4 linked regions of the Mus musculus genome follow. The protein of the gene in region 3 interacts with the protein of the main gene of each other region in a pairwise test. Links are inferred from orthologs where the notes say so. Each region holds a gene or a part of one and is shown on either strand. Other genes may lie near its edges.

Region 1 (5,208 bases), on a different chromosome or scaffold from region 3:
TAGTCATCAGGAAAATGAAAATCAAAATGACCCTGAGATTCCACCTGACACAAATCAGCATAGCCAAGATAAAAAATGAAGGTGACAGCAGATGCTGGCAAGGATGTGGAGAAAGAGGAACAAACACTCCTCCATTGCTGGTGAGATTGCAAGCTAGTACCACTTTAGAAATTAATCTGATGGTTCCTCAGAAAATTGGAAATAGCTCTACCTGAAGACCCAGCTACACCAATCCTGGGCATATACCCAAAAGATGCTCCAACACTATAACAAGGACATATGTTCCACTATGTTCACAGCAGCCTTATTTATAATAGCCAGAAGCTGGAAACAACCCAGATGTCCCTCAACGGAAGAATAGATACAGAAAATAAGGTACATTAACACAATGGAATACTGCCCAGCTATTAAAATGACAACTACGAACTTTGTAGGCAAATGGATGGAACTAGAAAATATAATCCTGAGTGAGGTAACCAGACCCAAAAGAACATACATGGTATGTACTCATTGGTAAGTGGATACTAACTGAAATACTCAGAATACCCATGATACAACCCACAGATCATATTAAGCTTAACAAGAAGGAAGGGCATAGCGTGTATGCATCAAACCCACTTAGAAGGAGGAACAAAATAATCACGGGAGGCAGAGGAAAGGAGGGTTCTGGGTGGGAAAGGGGCGGGGAAGGAAAGGAGGGGCCAGCGGAGGCAGTACCAGGTATTGGAAGAGACAGGAGATAGGAGAGAAGTCCATAGGCCCAGGAGAAGGAATAGAAATAAGTACCAGTGGGGGTGGGGAACTTGGGGAAGTACTAGAAAGTCCTCAACACCAGGAATTCGAGAGACTCCCAGGACCCAATGGGGATGACATTTGCCAAAATAGCCAACAGTAGGAAGATAGAACCTGAAGAGATCATCTCCAGTAGATAGACATGGCCCCCATGGGAGGGATGGGGCCAACCCCTACCCCATCTAAAAAAATTTAACTCATAATTGTCCCTATCTAAAGGAAATGCCAGGACAAAAATGGAGCAGAGGCTGAAGAAAAGGCCATCCAGAGACCTCCCCACTGTGGGATCCATTCCATCCACAGACACCAACACACTCCCCACCCCCCTTACTATTGCTGAAGCCAAGATGTGTTTGCAGACAGGAGCCTGGTATAGCTCTGAGGGGCTTTGCCAGCACCTGACTAAGAGAGATGCAGATACTCACAGCTAACCATTGAACTGAGCCTGGGGATCCTAATGGAAGAGTTAGGGGTAAAGGAGCTGAAGAGGATTGCAACCCCATAGAAAGAATAACAGTATCAATTTAACCAGAGTTCCCAGGAACTAAACTACCAACCAAAGAGTCCATGGCTCCCCCTACATATGTAGCAGAGGATTATTGCCTCATCTGGCATCAATGGGAGGGGAGGTGCTTGGTGCTGTGGAGGCTTGATACCCTAGAGAAAGTGGATGCTAGAGGACTGAGACAGGAGTGGGTGGTGGAAGGGGAAGTACCCTCTTAGAGGCAAAAGGGAGGAGGAAGGGTGGAAGGATTTGTGAAGAGGAGACTGGGAAGGGGAATAACATTTGAAAGATAAACAAAATGATTAATAAAAGGAAGTTATTAATAGCTTTCCTTTGGGACTACCAATCTTCACTAAATTTGGGTACAAATCACACACAGTATTCAGTACAAGACTAACATATATCCTCTTTTCTCTCTGTCTCAAATAGGATTTGGAATCACTTTAACCTTCATTGTCACTGTGGCTAGTTCTTTAGACTTTCCCAAAAGTTATAAATCTGACCTTTTTCCATGCCTTCAAAATAGACAGTGCCAATACAATTGACTCAGAAAAGTTATCCTCTTAAAAAGAAAGAACCATATGGCTAATTTCTAGTCAGCAGTCAACAATAGTAATACAATGCAAGAAGTTTCTTCTGCTTTCTCATCCATCTGTCAAAATTCCTAAGCTGACTTTGGTCCTTATCAAACTGTATGTAGATTTGTCTAAAATTCTTCACAGCTGACAAAGAGTTTCTTCCAAAAACTGTTTGAAATATCAAACAGACAGTCATTATGATTATTCATTATATCTATTTTGAAATCAGCCAATATTCATGATGCTTTATCTGACCAAGACTAACTGCCCACCCATCCCCTTAAAATGTGACTGAAGGAAGGCATTACTCATTCTTCCTATTTATTTTCTACTCTCTATATGCATTTAAACTTATTTAAAATTCTTTTATCATAAAACAAAAAACCCAAAACATAGTCACGGAACATTCCGTTGTTCAACTACAAATTCATCTTTTTCACTGTCACAATTAATCAGGAATAACTGTCAATAACTGTTCAATAATTTACTTCTTCCGTTTTTATAAACTCCATACATTTCAATGTTAATGAGAATTCTGTTTCCAAAACCTGGGGTCGGGGAGCACATATTCTGAGTCTCTTATGCTAAAACAGTGTTTCAATCAGTAAAGGCTGGCCTAAGCCTGGAGTTGAAAGGAAAACGTGGAGGAAACACCAACGTATTCAAATGTGTCCTACTTCCAATAAGCCGGGGCAATGACTCATGCTTCGAATTAACTGGTAAGAAGAGTCCTCGGATGTGACACTGGACACAGAAACTGAGCAATCCAGGCGGCTGAAATATCAAGAGTGCTTAAAAACTAAGGAAACTGGAAGGAAACCAATCAATCTTTTTGCGGAGAGAAATAGCAAATGGAGCCGGTCCGAGCGTTTAGAAGACAACTGCATTGGAAAAAGACCAAAATCAGACAAGGTGAGATACCGAAGTAACGAGAGAAGTGAGTGGACTATCTCCCAGGATTCTCAAGTCCTACAACTTTTAAATAACATTCCGAAACCGTAAGATTTATAAAACGAAAGTATTTCAAGAACTAAATCTCGGAAAGCGATTACCTAGCATGCAGAAGCCCTTAGTACAACCCCAGTTTTAAAAAGGAAGAAAGAAAATTCTCCAAAGCCGGGATACCTGGCGTAACACCTCGGCCCTGGCATTACGGGTCTGTTCTTTTCGCTCTTCGATACTGCTAGCACTTTCAAATCTTACACTAAACGCCTCCATAGTTGTTGCCGTCGAAAAGCAAGGACGCCGTCGGGAAACCTCGGTTTACGACTGTCGTAATTTAGAAACCGAATCTGCATTTCAAAATAGTAGGGAAGGGGCGTTACTATGCCAACAGAGCAGGCGCAGTTCCGAATGTTTCGCCTGTGAAAGGTTCAGCGGAAACTTGTAGCCTGCTGGAGAGTTGATCTTTCAGATGTACTAGGTTCGCTAAGCGCTGAGTTAATATAAACATGCGTTATTATGAGCCCTGCGATATATTAACTCATTTCTCAATAGGACTCTTAAAACACTCCAGTAAGCTAGAAGTTACTTACTTCCCCCTTCTTGCCTGACTTCCTGTGACTGTGCATCAACCTGAAGGGAACCTGATCAGAAAGTCAGAACGTGGGGGGAAAAGGGAAAAACAAAAATTGCTCTTAAGAATCAGTATAGGGGCTGGAGAGATGACTCAGTGGTTAAGAGCACTGACTGCTCTTCCAGATGTCCTGAGTTCAATTCCCAGGAACCACGTGGTGGCTCACAACCCTCTGTAATGGGATTGAACGCCCTCTTCTGGTGTGTCTGAAAACAGTGACAATGTACTCATATAAGTAAAATAAGTAATTAAAAAAAAAAGTTCAGTATTTTTCTTTGATGGGTGTCTTGAAATATATTTAAAACTGGGGTAGAGAGATGGGTCAGTGATTTAGGTGCTAACTGTTCTTGCAAAGGACCTAAGGCCACATCCAGGAACTCACAGGGATCATCAAAACCATCTCTAGCTCCATTTCCAGGAGATCTCCCTCTTCTGGCCTCCACAGGCATTGCAACTACATGATGACATAACACTCATTAAATAAATAAATAAATAAATAAATAAATAATTCTTAATTATTTGGAGGTCAAGACTTGGTGTTGCACAAGCCTGGGTGCAGGAAGAGTCCTCATCACCCAGAAGAAAGATGCCTTGGTTGTGTGGTTATCTCTCATAAAGAAAAAACAGTGACCTCTGTTGTATTTATTGCATCTTGCATAATTAAGTCTCTGTATCAAAAGACTAGCCCCATCTGTGCTTCATTTGATTCGCCCACTAGGATAGAAACAGGAAAGTTGAAATAAGCCATTTCTATCTCCTTTTGCCCATATCAACTCAGCAAATTTAAGATGACAAACTTGAATGGTTACAACCCCTTTATTTGATTCATTATGTTTGTGAGGCAGCACTCCAGTTTGTGCATCTGAAGCAAGGATAACCAGCCAATTCAGAGTTGATAGGAAGGGCTAATATACCTGCCCACGCATTACCAAAGGCACTCAAAAAGACTTGCCATGAAATATTGAAGGCTAAACGCACTGATGATTTTCGAAAACCTTGCTTCTCCGTAGGGAGAGCTTTGAAATTTCTTTTGTTGTTGTTGTTGTTGTTGTTGTTGTTGTTGTTGTTGAGAAGCAATACTCATGAGTCCTTGTACCAAAAAGAGTCAAAAGAAATAAAAATATCAAGAAACTAATAACCAGATTTTGTTTCTTTCTCTCTTATCTTCTCATCCAAAGATACAATGGTGATGAGAGGACGGACTGATATTGTTATATCTAAGGTAGAGTAGACAGTCATACCCTGGCTAATAGTGAGGAGCAGACTGTATCCACATTCATTCTACAGGGCCTGCTCTGCTCCATCTGTGTAAAGAAAACCACAGGTAAGGCCTAAGCCCTGCTAGACACTAAAATGTCCTCTGTGAGGACAGTCTAGGTGCAGACATGCTGAAATCTGGCCTTCTAGTGAGTCTAGGAATGTGTCATGCATATCAGTTAGCCTTTCACTGTGCTTTTAAAAATTGTCTGAGGATGAAGAGATGGCTCAGTAAAAGTACTACTCATGTGGAGGTCCCACTTTGGGTTTCTGGCACCTACATGACAGGCCCCTGTCATGTGTAACTTCAGTTCCAGTGGGTGAGATGTACTCTTCTGGTCTCTGTGGGTACTGTTTGCATATGGTGTACTTACATAGAGACAAAACACTCATCTACATGAAAGAAAAATCAATTAATCAAAACGTTTTTAATAGATTCATAATCCTTACCAAATTAGACATCTTGTTTGAAAATAATTATTCACATGAAAAAACATTTT
Region 2 (5,119 bases), on a different chromosome or scaffold from region 3:
ATAATCCCAATATGCCAAACGACGGAACTGTTTCAATAACAAAAAACAATTCTCAAACACCAAAAAAACCACAAAACCCCCACTGTAGGGCACAAGACAAAACATTACAAAAATAATTGCATGTGGGAGGAATTTGTACACTAGAGGGGATGGTGACAGGGAAAGAGATGAAGAATAAACAATGGGCTACAGACATGAAATTTCAAAGAACAAACAGTCAAACACTCCACCAAACTTTTCACCTAATTTAATAGAAATAATAATAATAGCAACCACCTCAGTAGTTGCGATATATGTGCCAGGTCATTTATGTTGGGTAGTCCTAGAATAGAGTATTTTTCTTCCTTTTATAAGGTAAACTTAAACTTGGAAATTATATGTAAATTGCCTATAATGACACTTAAAATAGTTGACTAAAATTGAAACTTACTGCTCTGGTTAAAATGTTTATACATATACCACCACACAAGCTGCCAGCAGACTCACCAACTTTCAATTACACTCAATTTCTCTACGTGTCAGTGGCAACCTACATTAAAAATTAGAAGTTTTTTGTCTTCTATTACTTCTTGCATTGTCATTGAAAATTCTCTTTCTCCATTCCATTGGGTTTATTGTTATGATTATGCAGTGACTTCATAATCAATGCCTGTTTCTTCTAATGGTTTCCTCCCGGAAACTCCACTGTAGAAACTGTGAGTCACCTTTGCCTATCCCTTCACTAAATGTCTCATGTTTGGTCTCCCTACTACCTCCTAACATAAAAATATAAAGACAGAGACATTAACACTGTCTTGGAATTGTTCTTTGATGTTACACTGTAGCTGTTTTTCAAACCTTTCTTCTCCCAAATACATTTATATTATTTGAACAAAGAAACTATGTTTGATTCTTGGTTCTTCACTCAGTACAGTTAATAGTCAAACACTATGTGTGCTTTGTAAACAAAACAGTACAATATCAAATATTTATATTAAAGAATAAATGAACTAGGGACAGGGGATCCATTTAGATGGTAGAGTGCTTGCCTCCCATTCATTGAGCCCTGGCTCAATCTGTGGCAGCTCATAACAGCAATTGTGGTAGCCCACACCTGTAACTTAGAGGTGTAGGTAGGAGGATAAGAAGTTCAACATTATTCTTAGGTACATGAAAAGTTCTAAACCAAACTCTGGTTCATGAATCAAATTAGCTAAGCAGCTCACCTGTGATGTCAGGAAAACTAATACAGAGTTGCTTTGTTTTGCTCTTGATAAAGTCCATAGTAAGCTCATCTTATCTAAAATGGGTGGCAGCTTTTGCATACAAATTAGCACACATTTCTTTTGGAGCTTATTTAGATTTATTACTGTTAGGATATGATAAATATTCAAGCAGAAATTTAAGAGTATTATTTCATTGTAGATTTCAGTGACAAGTATCTACTTCAAAACAAGCTAATGCATTTTTATTTGCATATCCATTCTATAAATTGTTCTGATACTGAGGCAAATGAGATGCTGGGACAATATGCCTTCAATAGTGCCTCCACTATGGCACTAGTGGGTTTAAAAGAAAATAGCAATGCAAAGAGGAACCTGATTTTCTCTACCAAATTACAGAAGTATAATTATAATGTGCGGTCAGGGACCAGGAAGACATGGAGCTTTTCCTTAAGAGTTAAGAAGTCACTGGATTTGGACATGAAGAAGCAGGATATCATCTCCCAACCAAGCCAGACCTTGAATTCTAAGAACACAAGGACACTTGTTGAAAACAAACTAAAGGAGCATTTTCTCACATCAACCTGAATCATTTCTCTTACAAACTGCTCTAATTTCCTTTATAAAACAAAAACTCCAAGATCAGAAATGTAAGCCACAGTAAAGGCTGTAAAATGAACCAGTTTCTTTAAGAAATTTAGTAAATATTCATAATGATGGTCATGATCCGAAATAACTGTCTGCATGCAAAGCTATCTTTCAAAGTACTCTGATCTTAGCATCTTTGGTTTCATTGTACTAACAGAATCGAAATGTCTTTACAAATCCATCCTTCTCTTATGTATGGGGGTGGGAGGTTGAAGACTTAAACAATTCAGTATGAAACGCCAGCTGTGGGCTCTGGAGAATCAAGCTTATGAGTTCTTTCAGACACCTTGTACTCTGAGGTGCTGTGAGATCTCAGGGTTAAGCTGAGGTGTCATAAAGGAGGAAGGCCATCTTCACACAAGTCACAATTATGTGCAAGCCCAAATGCTGCATAACATCTGGCATAGAATCACATTATATTCCCTTTTCAAATATATTTTAAATATCACTAATGTCACCTAAATGAAGAATTATGGTTGTGGTGGCACACACCTGTAATCTCAGCTTTTGGTAGGTCGTGACTGGCATGAGTTCTGGGGTACAGATCAAGTTCCATGCCAGTTTGGGGTACAGGACAACACCTCAATGTCTCTAACAACTAACTCTCTAAAGCTGGTCCGCATGAACTGTACAGCCTTTAAACTAAGAATTCCTACAGACTTCGGGTCGGTGTGTTTGTAAGAGCCAGCGCCCAGGGGCTCAACTGAAGTGACCTCCACTGTCTGCCCCTCCGCATCCCTTCCCCACACTCTTTGACCGGAGCGGCCATGGGAGGTGCTGACTCAAACTCCCAGCCAGTTGTGGAAAGTGCTGCACTCAGTACAAAGGTGACTTGACACAAAGTTCGTAACTTAAACTATAAATGTGTCAACCGCCAAACTCGGCGTGAACGTTTAACTGGCACTCGGGCTGAGCCACAGCGCCGGGATCCTGCAGCGAGATGGGACAGCACAGCTGTCAAACTCAGTGACAGCCTCGGCGGGCCCTCGTCGCCCAGCCCGCCCCGCCTCAGGCCCGAGTGTCCGCGGCCCCGCCCGCCTGCGGCCCTCAGGCTCGAGGGCCCCGGCTGCACCTCAGGATGTTGTCGGCGTAGGTGAGCAGCAGCTTGGAGGCCTCCAGAAAGGTCTCCGGGGTGTTCTGGCATAGCTCGGCCACGGCCGGGGACGCAGAGCTCGACGAGCTGCCCAGTGTGGCCGACGCCATGGCTGCGCCGCGGCCTTCGCCACCTCGCGCACCGCGGCCCGCACTGAGCAGGCGCTGAGGAGCGCCTAGGCCGCCGCAGAGGCCTGCGGCCAGAGGGCGGGGCGAGGAGCCGAGGGGCGGGGCGTTCCGGGAGGGGCTAGGGGCGGGGCGAGCCGCGGAGAGGCCGGTTGCGAACGTTGGGGTACGGGGTACAAGGGGCCGAGCCAGTGGAGTAGATCTCGAGCTGTGGTGGCTGCTTGTGTCGGGTAGGGTCCCAGAGATAATTGCACAGCCTTCTTTTTACGGTAGATAAAAGTCTTTTGTGGAAGAAAAGACTCCAGAAGACCGAGCAAGTTTTTGTTATGTCTTTTTTTTGGGGGGTGGGGTGGGGTGGGGGCGGTTATGGGGAAGGGAAAGTGATCATGGTCTGTGGCCTAGGCTGGGCTCACACGGGAATTTACTGCAGTCTTGCCCTTTGGTTACTAGTGTCCGGCTTCAAAAACAGAGCATAGCTCAGAACTCTTCTGGGTTTCTGATTTGTGTATTTTCCGAATTCTGTTGATGAAAACTCAGTTGTTGCTCACAAGGTATGATTCTGATGCAAGGAGCATTTTGGGAGTGTCCTATGGATACTCGCATAAAACCCATATACAATAATAGAATAAAATGAGGAACAAACAAGTAAATAAAGTTTATATACACATTGTATCCTTTGACTCATACTGGCATATCCCTTACCAGTATCCTTAATTTATCTTAGAAAGGGAATCACTAACCTCCTTAGCTGATGCCCTTGTCACTGACATCAACCCTGGAAATTGGCTCCAGCACTGAGCTTCATACTCAGTCCTCATTACTTCTTTTTCTTCTTCAGAAGAGGGTTTCTCTGCATAGTTCTGGGTAAAGTGGAACTCCAGCTATAGATCAGCTTGAACTCAGATCCACCTGATCACTGCCTCCTGAGTACTGGAATTAAAGGCTTGTCTACCACTACCTGGCTTTTTTTTATTACTTTTTAATGTTGAAATGCCACTAAGAGTGCACTTGACCTTGATTTGTAGTCAGGAGTTTTCCATGCTCCACTCACCTTGAATAGCTGGAATTACATATATGAATCACTAGCACGTAGCAGGTACTTGTTGGCTTTGTGTTTTAAAGATATTTACTTATGTGACCTCGTTTGACACTTTATTATCTGTTGTTTTTTAATGTTTCTGGGCAATTTCTTCGGAGAATTTTCAAGAACTTCTGAATATTCATCTGTAAAATATACCTACATTTTTAGCACTTAGGTTTGTAGACCAACTTCAAGAATATTGTTTTCAGCTAGGCATGTTGGCAAATCCCAAAACTTGGAAGGTAGAGGCAGGAGAATCAAATATACATACATACATACATACATACATACATACATACATACATACATACATATATCACTACTACCACCACCACCAAAGACATGAAAGAAGGAGGCAGATGAGGGAAAGGGGGGTTAAAGGGGAGGGCAAAGGTGATGGAAGAGAGATAATGGATGGACTGTGGCCAAAGAACATTGTATATCTATGAGACTTTGAAAGAATAAGTCTTAGAAAGAGAATATTATGTTCAACAAAGTATGTTATTAGCTGTTGTTTAAATTTTTCAGTGGCTAACTACTAGCATTTTTTTTTCTGGTCCATAACAAAGTAATAATTATGTTTGTGGCCCAACTTCAAATGCTGTATTCCCAGCTATTTGCTGTGAGTGTTGACTGATCCTTGTAATCCCAGTATATAAAGGATACAGGCAGGCCAGCTGCTGCAGCCTTGTTAGGAAAAGTGCATTATGGGAGGCAGTTAGGTTTTGAGAGTACATGCTCCTGCCCTATGTCCAGGTTACTCCCTCTGCTTGTGCTTGTGGTAAAGGATGTGAGTATTCAATTTCCTTCTCTGGCTGCCATGCCTGCTGCCATGCAGTTCTGCCATCACGCACTCTAACCTTTGTACCCATAAGCCAAAGTAAATGGTTTTATAAGTTGCCTTGGTTGTGGTGTTTTATCACAGCAATAGAAAACTAGGGTAAGCATGGTTTCAGATATTTTTTGAAAA
Region 3 (4,576 bases):
TGGCACCCCTCTCATCTCACCTCGATCATTGGGGACATCTGCAAAGATCTAGAGGGCTGGGGAGGTGACACTCTCTAGACACCCACCACACACCATCCTCTGGCCTGGATGCTTTGTTAGGAGAGCCACGTCTTCCATTAATTCTGGAAGAGTCTTAGGGCTTTCCACTCAGACAACACTGCTTCTGTCAATTCCTATCCTTCTGGGAGTCCAATAGGACTGTGCAGGCCTTCCCATCCTCCACCTCCCTCTTCCTGGTGCTGCCACGTTCTATTTTTTTGTTTTTTTTTTTGTTTTCACTTGTTTGTTTGTTTGTACTCTTCTTTCATTCAGTGATTCTTCTGAGAAATCCATCACTTGGTCCGTCTACTGGTTTTCCCACAGTTATTAGTTTCCACTCAGTTCTTTGTCAGATCTATGTTCAGCTTGCTTTGCTTTGGTTTTTCTTCGATCGGGCCTTTTCATGTTATCCACACTGGCTTTGAATCTGTTATCCTCTTTCCTTGGCCTCCCTAGTAGCTGAGATTACAGTGTTCGCCACCACAACAGGCCACTGCTGCTACATGGTCATTTTGCACTTTTGTTTTTTTTCAGTTCTGGGGATCTATCCGGGGCTTTGTGCTAGGCAAGTGTGCTATATCTCCAATTCTACCTTTTGTTGTTGTTGATGATGATGATGATGCTGTTGTTTTATTTCATCTTTTTTTCTATTTTTTTATTTTTTAAGATTTATTTGTTTTATGTATATGAGTACACTGTAGCTGTCTTCAGACACACCAGAAGAGAGCATCAGATCCCATTACAGATGGTTGTGAGCCACCATGTGGTTGCTGGGATTTGAACTCAGGACCTTCTGAAGAGCAGACAGTGCTCTTAACCACTGAGCTCTCCAGCCCCACTTTATTTTTCTTTAAAACAGGGTCTTTCCTTATACAGCCCAGGCTGGCTTAGAATTCTTTATGTAGTCTAGGCTGGGCACCCAGCATCCTGAGTGCTAAGACTTACAGAGTGCTCAACCATGCCTGACATTATTCTATCTTCTTAAAAACATCGTGTACATTGCAAGTTTCTGTTCTTTAATAATTCCAACATCTCAATTCCCTGAGGGTTTGAAGGGTTTCTGCTAATTGCACTCATGTGGTCCATTTCTCTGTGTATCTTCCATTGTGATTGTTGTGTTGATCTTAATCTAAGGGCCTGCATTGAAGGCATCTTCTTCCAGCTTAACATCTGCATTTGTTTCTGACAAGAACCAGGTGATATAAACGACTTCTTTGATATCTTGGGACTTCAACACAAGCTGAGGTTTGGGGAGTCTTAAATGCACCTCTACCTACACATGTTTTGCAGGTTTTGCGGCATGGCCTCTATCTCTAGCCTGTACTGAGCCAGCATTGGTCATGTGATGAATGTTATCTCTCCTGCCTGCAGGGGCTCTCTGGACCTGCCCTTCCCACCTCCCACCACCACCCCCCATCCCCACCTTCCTAGGATGCCCTTCTCCTCTCAAAGGCCAACTGGTGTGATCTTAAAAATCTCAGCATATCTGGAAGTTAGCTGTGTAATTTCACACTCTTGAGCGTATCTGGTCCTTTGGTGGATACCGTCCTGAAGTGGCTCCCGTTAGATATTAACTAGCTGATGCTGTGGCCATAACCATTGTCTTCACCTTGCCTGACCAGAGAAGGCAGTCAGGGTCAGGGAGGTCAGGTAACTGCCTCAGGGTCGTGTGCAGAGTAGAAAGCAGAGCTGGGGATTTGCCCTGACCACCCCTTACCTAAGTACAGTGAGAACTGCCCAGTCCTAAACCCTTTTCCCGACCCCTCCCTGACTAGATACCTTCTGGCGTTTGTAAATGGTGGGCAGAGGGGCCACCTCACAGTCCTTGTGGGCGCCGAAAACCTTGCAGAGAGAGCAGGTGGGCACCTCGCAGCTCAGGCAGTAGATGTTGATCTTCTCGTCCTCGTGCTCCTCACACATGAGGTGCTGTTCAGCCTTGGCGTGCAGTGGCCTGAGGATCAAGGGCAAGGCAGCAGCGACTGTCAGGGAGCCAGACTGTGACCAGTGGTCGGAAACTTACACAGCGTTCTCACTTTGGGGAAGAAACGATGCTCAAAGGAGACCTGGACCCAGGAAGAATCTATTCCAGGGGACAAAGATGTCACGCAGGACAGGAAGTCATGGGAGCTGATGAGGTCAAGAACATTGAGGTAGACTTTGGTCCCAGACCAGGAGGAGGGAGTAAGATTGAACAGTGTTTCCAGAGGCAAAGTCGGGCCTCCCTGGAGGCCTCCCCTCCTCCCTAGGTCTTCTTTCCCCTTTGTTGTCCTCCTCCCTCTGCTGGGGGGATGTCAGCTTACACAGACTAAAATCATCTGAGAGGAAGGGACTGCAATCAAAAAAATGTCTCCAAAAGATGGGGTTATAGACAGCCTGTGAGGCATTTTCTTATTTAGCCATTGATGGGGGATGTTGATGGGGGAGCCCACTGTGGGTAGGGCCATCCCTGGGCTGGTGGTCTTCGGTTCTATAAGAAAGCAGGCTGAGCAAGCCATGAGGAGCAAGCCGGTAAGCAGCACTCTTCCATGGTCTCTGCATCAGCTCCTGCCTCCGGGTTCCTGCCCTCTTTGAGTTCCTGTCCTGACTTCAGGAATGTCTATGATGTGGGAGTGTGAGGCAAACACAGTGCTCCACAATAGCAATGGAAACCCTAAACTGCCCCTCTATCCCCAAGGGTGCAGGCTCTTCCCTCCAGAGAGGCCAGCAGCCAGGCATCTATCTTACCGGGAGGACTCCTGCTTGTAGATGTCAATGATGTTCTCCACTAGCAGGTTCCGCTGCAGGCCATAGACACCATGCCTGTCCAGGACAACCTCGTGCCTACAAGATGGGCATCGGAAACGTCCTCCTGAAGACACCGTTGTGGAGCCCCGGGATTGCCACAGAGGATTAGAGGCCTGAGAAGACAGGTGACAGGACACTAGAAGTGTAAGGAGGTGTGAGGGAAGGCAAGTGGTGAGCTGACACGGGAACATTAGGTCTTCTCTGCATTTGGTGTCCCCAGACAACACTCTGACAGACGATTTCCTGCCTTGGCCTCATCCCTCAGCTCAGCTCCTTGAGTGTCCCCGCACACAGAGCCTCACTTTGGCCCAGGCCTGATCACTATCTTCAATGGAGTCCAGCATGGGGCTTTGACAGGAATGCTAACTGTAGGCAAGAGACTGGCAGTATAGCCAGTGTCCTCCAGCTTGGACCCTTATGAGCACATGTAAGGTGGTGCATATGTACATGTGCATGTATGTTTGGCAAGATAATATAATCTTGTCTCAAACTCCACGTGAATGGAAGATAACCTTGAATTCCTGATCCTTCTACCTTGACCTCCCAAGTATTGGGCTTATGGCTCTCTCTCTCTCTCTCTCTCCCTCTCTCTCTCTCTTTCTCTCTCTCTCTCCTCTCTCTCTCCTCTCTCTCTCCCTGAGACAGGGTCTTATGTAGTCCAGGCTGGCCTCAAACACTCTGTCTAACTACCTGCCTCTGTCTCCCAAATACTGAGCCATGAGAGTGCTTCTCTTTAGTCCCGGGAAGAGTCACACAACTCAAGTGCTGAACAGGGACAGAGGAATTGCAGCCAGGCTCGGGATGTGGCTCAAGTGGTAGAGGCTGCCCTAGATTTGATCCCCAGGGGCAGAGTGGCGCACTTGGGAGGTAGAGGTAGGCGGGTCTGCTCCATAGGAGGTCTAACATCATCCTCAGCTACATAGGGAGTTTGAGGGCAGCACAGGATGAATGAGACCTGTCTAAAAAAGAAAAGGAGAGAAAGAAAGGCTGGACATGGTGGCACTGGCGGCTTAGCTGAGGCTCTTTACACTGTGTGTCTTAGAGACCAGTCCCAGCTCACTCTGAAGCCACCACCATAGTGTGACCTGAAGCAACCAATCAAAATCCTCTCCTGAATTGTGGCTTAGGATGCAGAAGTCAAGCTGGCTACAGAAAAAAGGCTCATGGAATTTGACTAAGAGCTGATCTGGTGTCCATCCTGGAAACTGAGAGACAAAAACTATTAACACTGAAGGCTGGTCTACAGAGAGGTGGAAAGAATCACTTGTTGGAACTGGTAAGACAGCTCAATGATAAAGACTCTTGCCACCAAGCCGGATGCTCTGAGTTGATCCCCAAGACCCACTTTGTAGGAGAGCCCACCGACTCTACACACTCTGTGGCATTCACATACACTCGTAGGTAAATAAATGTAAAATAATAATAATAATAATAAATCATTTTTGGCGAGAAGTAGAGTTGAAAGATGGCCAGAGATGACCCTGTTCCTTAGTAAGAGATTGCCTGAGATGGCACGATCCTTGGTATAAAGACCATAGAGTTAAGCCTGCTTCTGGCTGGGGATAGCCAGGTGACTGTGTTGTGGATTTGTGGATGCAAAGACTTGGTACAGTTTTAGAGTGTCATGTCTCCCAACAGTAGAAGCCATGCCCTCTGTTCCCCATCTTTTCCTTTGCTCCTGTTTGAATGTAGAATGATGCTGAGGGTGGATTCTGAGCCAGGACCCAGCAGA
Region 4 (5,223 bases), on a different chromosome or scaffold from region 3:
TGCTATGATCCTCAAAGTCTCACTCTGTATTCTTACTCTCGGGGTCGTTGTTTCTGAGGCCGTTCCTCTCTGGAAGGACGGCTTTCACTGCTGTGCCTTTTCTTTGCCAGGTGCTTCTGCATCTCTTTCAAGGGATCCAGTCGGTTCTTGATCTTCTCATCTGGGCTTGGGCCTGGAGGGCAGCAGTCCTTTTGCCCTGGGGGGAGCTGGTACCAAGGAGGCTGAGTTTGGGCCTCTGCTGCACTCTGGCCCAAGTAAGTCAGGATACCTAGTGCTTTCTCTTGTCTCTCCTGCAGAGGCAAGAAAACAAAATAGTCTTTTCAGTCCCTCTGGGAGCCCTAGATGTGGCAATAGAAAAACCCAGGGCTCAAATTTCTGGAGACGGGGACTGGTAGACAGTCATTTAACAAGGGAGATCAGAAGACCATTCAGGAAGCACCAGGGGCTTATCTGCAGGAGGAGGAAGAAAGAGAGGCTGCGGCCTGTGCAGTAGTGAAGATGGGAGAAGCTTTGGGAACAGTTTAAGGAAAAACCTGCAGAAAAGCAAAGTGGAGGAGTGATTTTTCAGTGGGAGATAGCACCTTCAAAGTTCGACGAGAGAGAGGAGAGCCACAGTACAAGTCAGTTTGAAAAGCACAAATGCTGTCTGGAGATGAGTGCCTATGATCCCAACACTTGGCTCAGGAGGCCAAGGCAGGGGGATTGAGAATTGGAAAGCACCCCTGGTCTGTGTAGTTGTGACCTCATCTCAAAAATAAAATAGCTTAAGACTTTTTTTAGTCCCATGGGAAAAGGTTAGCCAGTTTAAGTGCTGTACAGCAGTAACCAACTTACAGGTAATATCTCTCAGTCATATTCTAAAAATTTTAGAGTGCTTATCACCATATCCTAACAGTCACAGCCAGTCCCCACCCCCATGATTCCACCAAAAAATGAGGCCAACTTACCTTTTCCCGTCGCTTCTCTTCCTCATGCTCTTTATTGCCTCTGGGAACTCCTTTCCTTTCTTCCAGCAGCTCCCTAAACAGGTCCACAGGGCCAGAACTTGGAGCTCCTGGGTCTGCTGCTTCCAGCTCAGGCACTGAGTTTCGTTGCCTGGCTTTCTTCCGTAGGAATTCCGTACGGGCCTATGAAGGGTTATAGGGAAGACATTCAGAACCCAGAAGTGCTGAGGATACAAGAATGGTCCATGGGCAGGGAGGGCAGTGGTAGCACACACCTTTGAACCTAGCATTCAGGAGACAGAGGCACATGGATCTCTGAATTCAAGGCCAGCATGGTCTACAGAGTGAGTTAGTTCCAGGACTACACAGAAAAATCCTGTCTTGAAAAGAGGGGGTGGGGGTGGGGCAAATATTGAGAGCAAGAAGAGATACCATTTCTAACTTGGAGTGGAGAATCGATGTTTTTAGACAGTAAACTGGGCTATCAGAGATAGTTCAGAGAAGATCCCTGACCTAAAACAGAAGGCTTCCCAGTCTCAAGTGATGCAAGGAAAACCCACTCAGGTATAGGTATAGGTGGCTTGTTCAGCCATAGAGCCCCTGCCTTGTGTGTAGTTCCAAATTCAGTCCCCAACACAAGTATGTATATACTCCCAAACTTGTAAGGTAATCAAATATTGCTTTCTGGACAAAGGATCTAAATCCAAGGTATGGCTCCAGGTCACCACTCCAAGTACAACCTGACCCCAGATAGGGATGGTCTCTGATTCACAATTCTCCCCTTTCTGCAGCCTTAGTATCTGGGATTAATTACAAGCGTCACCTTTTTGTTTGTTTGTTTTGTTTTGTTTTGTTTTTTAAGACAGGGTTTTTCTGTGTAGCCCTGGCTGTCCTGGAACTCACTTTGTAGACCAGGCTGGCCTCAGAAATCCACCTGCCTCTGCCTCCCAGGTGCTGGGATCAAAGGCGTGCGCCACCGCCACTACCCGGCTTTTTTTTTTTTTTTTAAGCCCACACTAATTCATGATCAGATTGGCCAAGGGACTTAAGTGTAAACCAAACTAATCGAGTAACTTAGAGTCTGTGATGTGTGTGTGGTCTTCAATACTAGCGTTCAAGTGGAACAGGCAAGCTGAGTTCAAGACCAGCCTGGTCTACGTAGCCAGTTCCATAACAGCCACGGCTACACAGACCCTGTTCCAAATAAAACCTCCAGATGCTCTTTTCTTGGCAAGCAATGAGGGAGGGAGAAAAGACATGCCCAACGAAGTGGACCCCGGCTTGTCCGCCCTTTGCCCTCCTTGCTGAAGCCGTTGTACTCAGAGCAAGGTGACCGCACCCCTCCAAGTTGTTCTAAGAGGGAATTTCTCAAAGCAAGCGCTCAGAAGGAAGGGAGCATACACAGAGTGGGTGATCAGTAATTAACTTGTGCGGGCAACCTATAAAGTAATCAGAATATTTGTCCAACTCTTCCAGTATGCTAGTCTCTGGTCCCTCAACACCAGTGGGGAAATCTAGGAAGGTTTCTTGGAAGTTAGCACAGGATTTTCAGAGAAACATCGTCGAACACACAGACCCGCTCCCGGCACCGAGTGATAGCTAGGCCCGCCGCGCTTCTGGGCGGTCCCCAGGCTTACCTCTTGCTGGGCGAGCAGCACCCTCCGCTCCCGCTCCTTCTCCTCCTCCCGGGCCTGGGCCTCGTCGCGCCGCACGCGGGCAACATTGTCCTTGTTCCGGACGTGCCAGCTCTTCTTCGGCAAGATATTCATGGCTCCAGTGCCGACCTCGGACTGTCAGGCCCACTCTTCAGCACTTCCGATTGGCTCGAGGATGCTCCCGCCCCATGGTTCCACCCTTGCTCGTGCATTGGTTCTGGGCCAATTGTCACGTCCCATCCTAGCCTTGTTTAGAGATTATTGGCTGAGAGCCTTCCATCTCAGCCAATCCTAAGCATTTGTAACCTGAGTTGCTCCACCCCCGGACGCTGCTTGATGAGGCTGTTGCCTGTCTATTCCTTTAAGCAGACATAACCTAGCTCTTCAGGCCGATTTGGACCTGGCCCCTCCCCAAACCCCGTCCGAGGCTTCAGAACGGGGTTTCAAAACGCAAAGCGGCCTTGACTGTTGTTTATTAATACGGTTCAATTGAGAGTGTAGCATTCGGGTGGCAGAGGGCGGGGAATTTGGTTCCAGAGATGAAAGAGTCCCATCACTTGATATGAAGTCACTGAAGCTGAGGGGCTGAAGGTTCAGCCAGACTTATCAGGAAGTTCCATTCCTTGAGCTCAGAGCCACAGCTCGCTGGGCCAGGAAGACTTTATTCTGCACTTCCTGCGGGCAAAAAGGAGCGAAAGTGAAGCACACCTTTTCATTCTTCTTTCATAGTCTCATAGAGCCCTTTCCGGGGAAATCAGCCTGGCTCACCGTCTCTATCTGGCGTTTGAGCTCAGAGATGAGGCGTCCGTAACAGTTAGCCAGGGCTACGGTATACATCATCAGGATGCTATGGAAGACAGGAATGAAAATCACTCTAGAAAAACAATCATCTTCATCATATGGCTCCTTAGAAACCAGGCTGGAGAGATGGCTCGTAACCGGAGCACTGGCTGCACTTCCAAAGGACCGGGGTTCAATTCCCAGCCCCACATGGCAGCTTACAATTGTAACTCAAGTTCGTTACTTCACACAGACAGTCACACTGTCCAAATACCAACACACATAAAAATTAAATGAATAAGTAAATTAAAGAAACCAATATCAGGATCCTCAAATCCCTTAAAACCCTTTTTGAGACTCTGAACACAAGTCTTTATCCTCTCTCTTTAGACCCAAAAGTTCAGACCCTTTAACCAGAGGTTAAACTAGAGGTTCAGGCTCCATACCTCCTCCCCCTTCATCAAATCGATAAATCCACACCCTAGCCCTCCTTTCCTCAGACCAGGAATCCAAACCCAGATGTCTTTTCTTAGACCCTAAGCATTCACACTCCGACTCTCCTGCTCTTGATTTATAGGCATCCCGGCCAGCCCCACGTCTCTGTTGTATATAGGCACCCAGCCCACCTCTCTAGCACTCAGGTGCCCAGAAACTCCTTTCTCTTTCAAACACTAAATTACACACATTCAAAGTCTGACTGCTCACCTAGAGAGGATCAGAAGAGGTACAGTAAAAGCTTGGGTTCCCAGAAAGTAGAGAAAATTCTGGGCAGTCTGAGGGAGGCTCTCAATGGCCTCAGGGATCTGGGCCCAAATGGACAGCTTCCCGCGGAACGGGCCACACAGTTTCGAAGGTGGGATCCTGTAGGGGGAGACACACTGGATTCAGTCAAGTCGAGCTAGAGTGAGAACAAACAGAAGTCTCTCGTACTTACAGGAAGATACTGTAAAGCACGGGAACTGCAGAGATCGCCAGACCCACAAGGAGAACCAGGGGGAAAAAGAAGTTTGCCGTGGATGCTCGGAAGGTGCGGGAAGCCGGTGAGTAGATGGAGAAGAGGGTTATCTGGTAGGGAGAGGCGAGGAAATGGAGGTGTAAGACTCAAGAGTCAATCCTTTGCTTTTCCCTGTTTCTTATCTTGGAGCTTTGGCCTCCTTTGGGGGCTGGGACCAGATCTCTGAGCCAATAGGACTCTGACTTCCAGCTCCCTCCTCCCATCCTCAGGGCATAGTAATCAGGGCCCTGATAACCGTCCTCCTTTCTCTAGCCCAGGACTACAGCCTCCAACACCTGTCAGCTCAGACCCTAGGCTACTCCTCAGACTCACCTTCTTCAGGCAGAACAGTATGAGGAACTTAGCAGTGTTGATCAAAGGCAGTAAAGGGCAGAAGAAGCTTCCCACCCAGACCACGGTCTGCGCATAGATGAGCCCCAGCACCTCATCTGGCACCTGGAACTCCAGGGTTCCCGACAGACGACCCAGTGCCCCAGGACAGAGGCCACAGAGTATCCTGAAGGGCAGAGTGGGACAGTCATAGGCTGCCTTTTGGCTTTCCTAACTCTACCACCCAGCCCATTCCTTGATTTTATGTTTATTTTTTAAATATTTATTTTAAAAAAGATTTATTCATTTATTTTATGTATATGAGTACACTGTAGCTGTACAGATGGTTGTGAGTCTTCATGTGGTTGTTGGGAATTGAACTTAGGACATCTGCTTGCTCTGGTCAACCCCACTTGCTCATGCCCAACGATTTATTTATAAATAAATACACTGTTGCTGTCTTCAGACACACCAGAAGAGGGTGTCAGATCTCATTATGGGTGGTTGTTAGCCACCATGT

The links.
Region 1: the proteins of Trim54 (region 3) and Cwf19l2 interact in binary tests that used the Homo sapiens proteins (3 or more experiments, as listed by UniProt). The two-hybrid records come from large-scale screens. The link is inferred for Mus musculus from reciprocal best matches to the Homo sapiens genes TRIM54 and CWF19L2.
Region 2: the proteins of Trim54 (region 3) and Ngly1 interact in binary tests that used the Homo sapiens proteins (3 or more experiments, as listed by UniProt). The two-hybrid records come from large-scale screens. The link is inferred for Mus musculus from reciprocal best matches to the Homo sapiens genes TRIM54 and NGLY1.
Region 4: the proteins of Trim54 (region 3) and Leng1 interact in binary tests that used the Homo sapiens proteins (3 or more experiments, as listed by UniProt). The two-hybrid records come from large-scale screens. The link is inferred for Mus musculus from reciprocal best matches to the Homo sapiens genes TRIM54 and LENG1.

Annotation. Positions count from the first base shown.
Region 1 is NC_000075.6:3,401,983-3,407,190, reverse strand, and holds the start of Cwf19l2 (CWF19-like protein 2), read right to left. Parts: upstream 3,107-5,208; 5' UTR 3,094-3,106; coding exon 3,001-3,093; intron 1-3,000.
Region 2 is NC_000080.6:16,247,301-16,252,419, reverse strand, and holds the start of Ngly1 (peptide-N(4)-(N-acetyl-beta-glucosaminyl)asparagine amidase), read right to left. Parts: upstream 3,107-5,119; 5' UTR 3,054-3,106; coding exon 2,923-3,053; coding exon of another isoform or gene 2,921-2,922; exon of another isoform or gene 2,612-2,920; intron 1-2,611. UniProt on the Homo sapiens protein: Specifically deglycosylates the denatured form of N-linked glycoproteins in the cytoplasm and assists their proteasome-mediated degradation. Cleaves the beta-aspartyl-glucosamine (GlcNAc) of the glycan and the amide side chain of Asn, converting Asn to Asp.
Region 3 is NC_000071.6:31,129,423-31,133,998, reverse strand, and holds part of Trim54 (tripartite motif-containing protein 54), read right to left. Parts: intron 2,958-4,576; coding exon 2,785-2,957; intron 2,012-2,784; coding exon 1,840-2,011; intron 1-1,839. UniProt on the Homo sapiens protein: May bind and stabilize microtubules during myotubes formation.
Region 4 is NC_000073.6:3,662,735-3,667,957, forward strand, and holds the start of Leng1 (leukocyte receptor cluster member 1 homolog), read right to left. Parts: upstream 3,107-5,223; 5' UTR 2,714-3,106; coding exon 2,582-2,713; intron 1,128-2,581; coding exon 948-1,127; intron 291-947; coding exon 37-290; intron 1-36. Other genes in the region: Tmc4 (transmembrane channel-like protein 4), read right to left, coding at 3,206-3,274, 3,368-3,446, 4,085-4,240, 4,314-4,444, 4,707-4,890.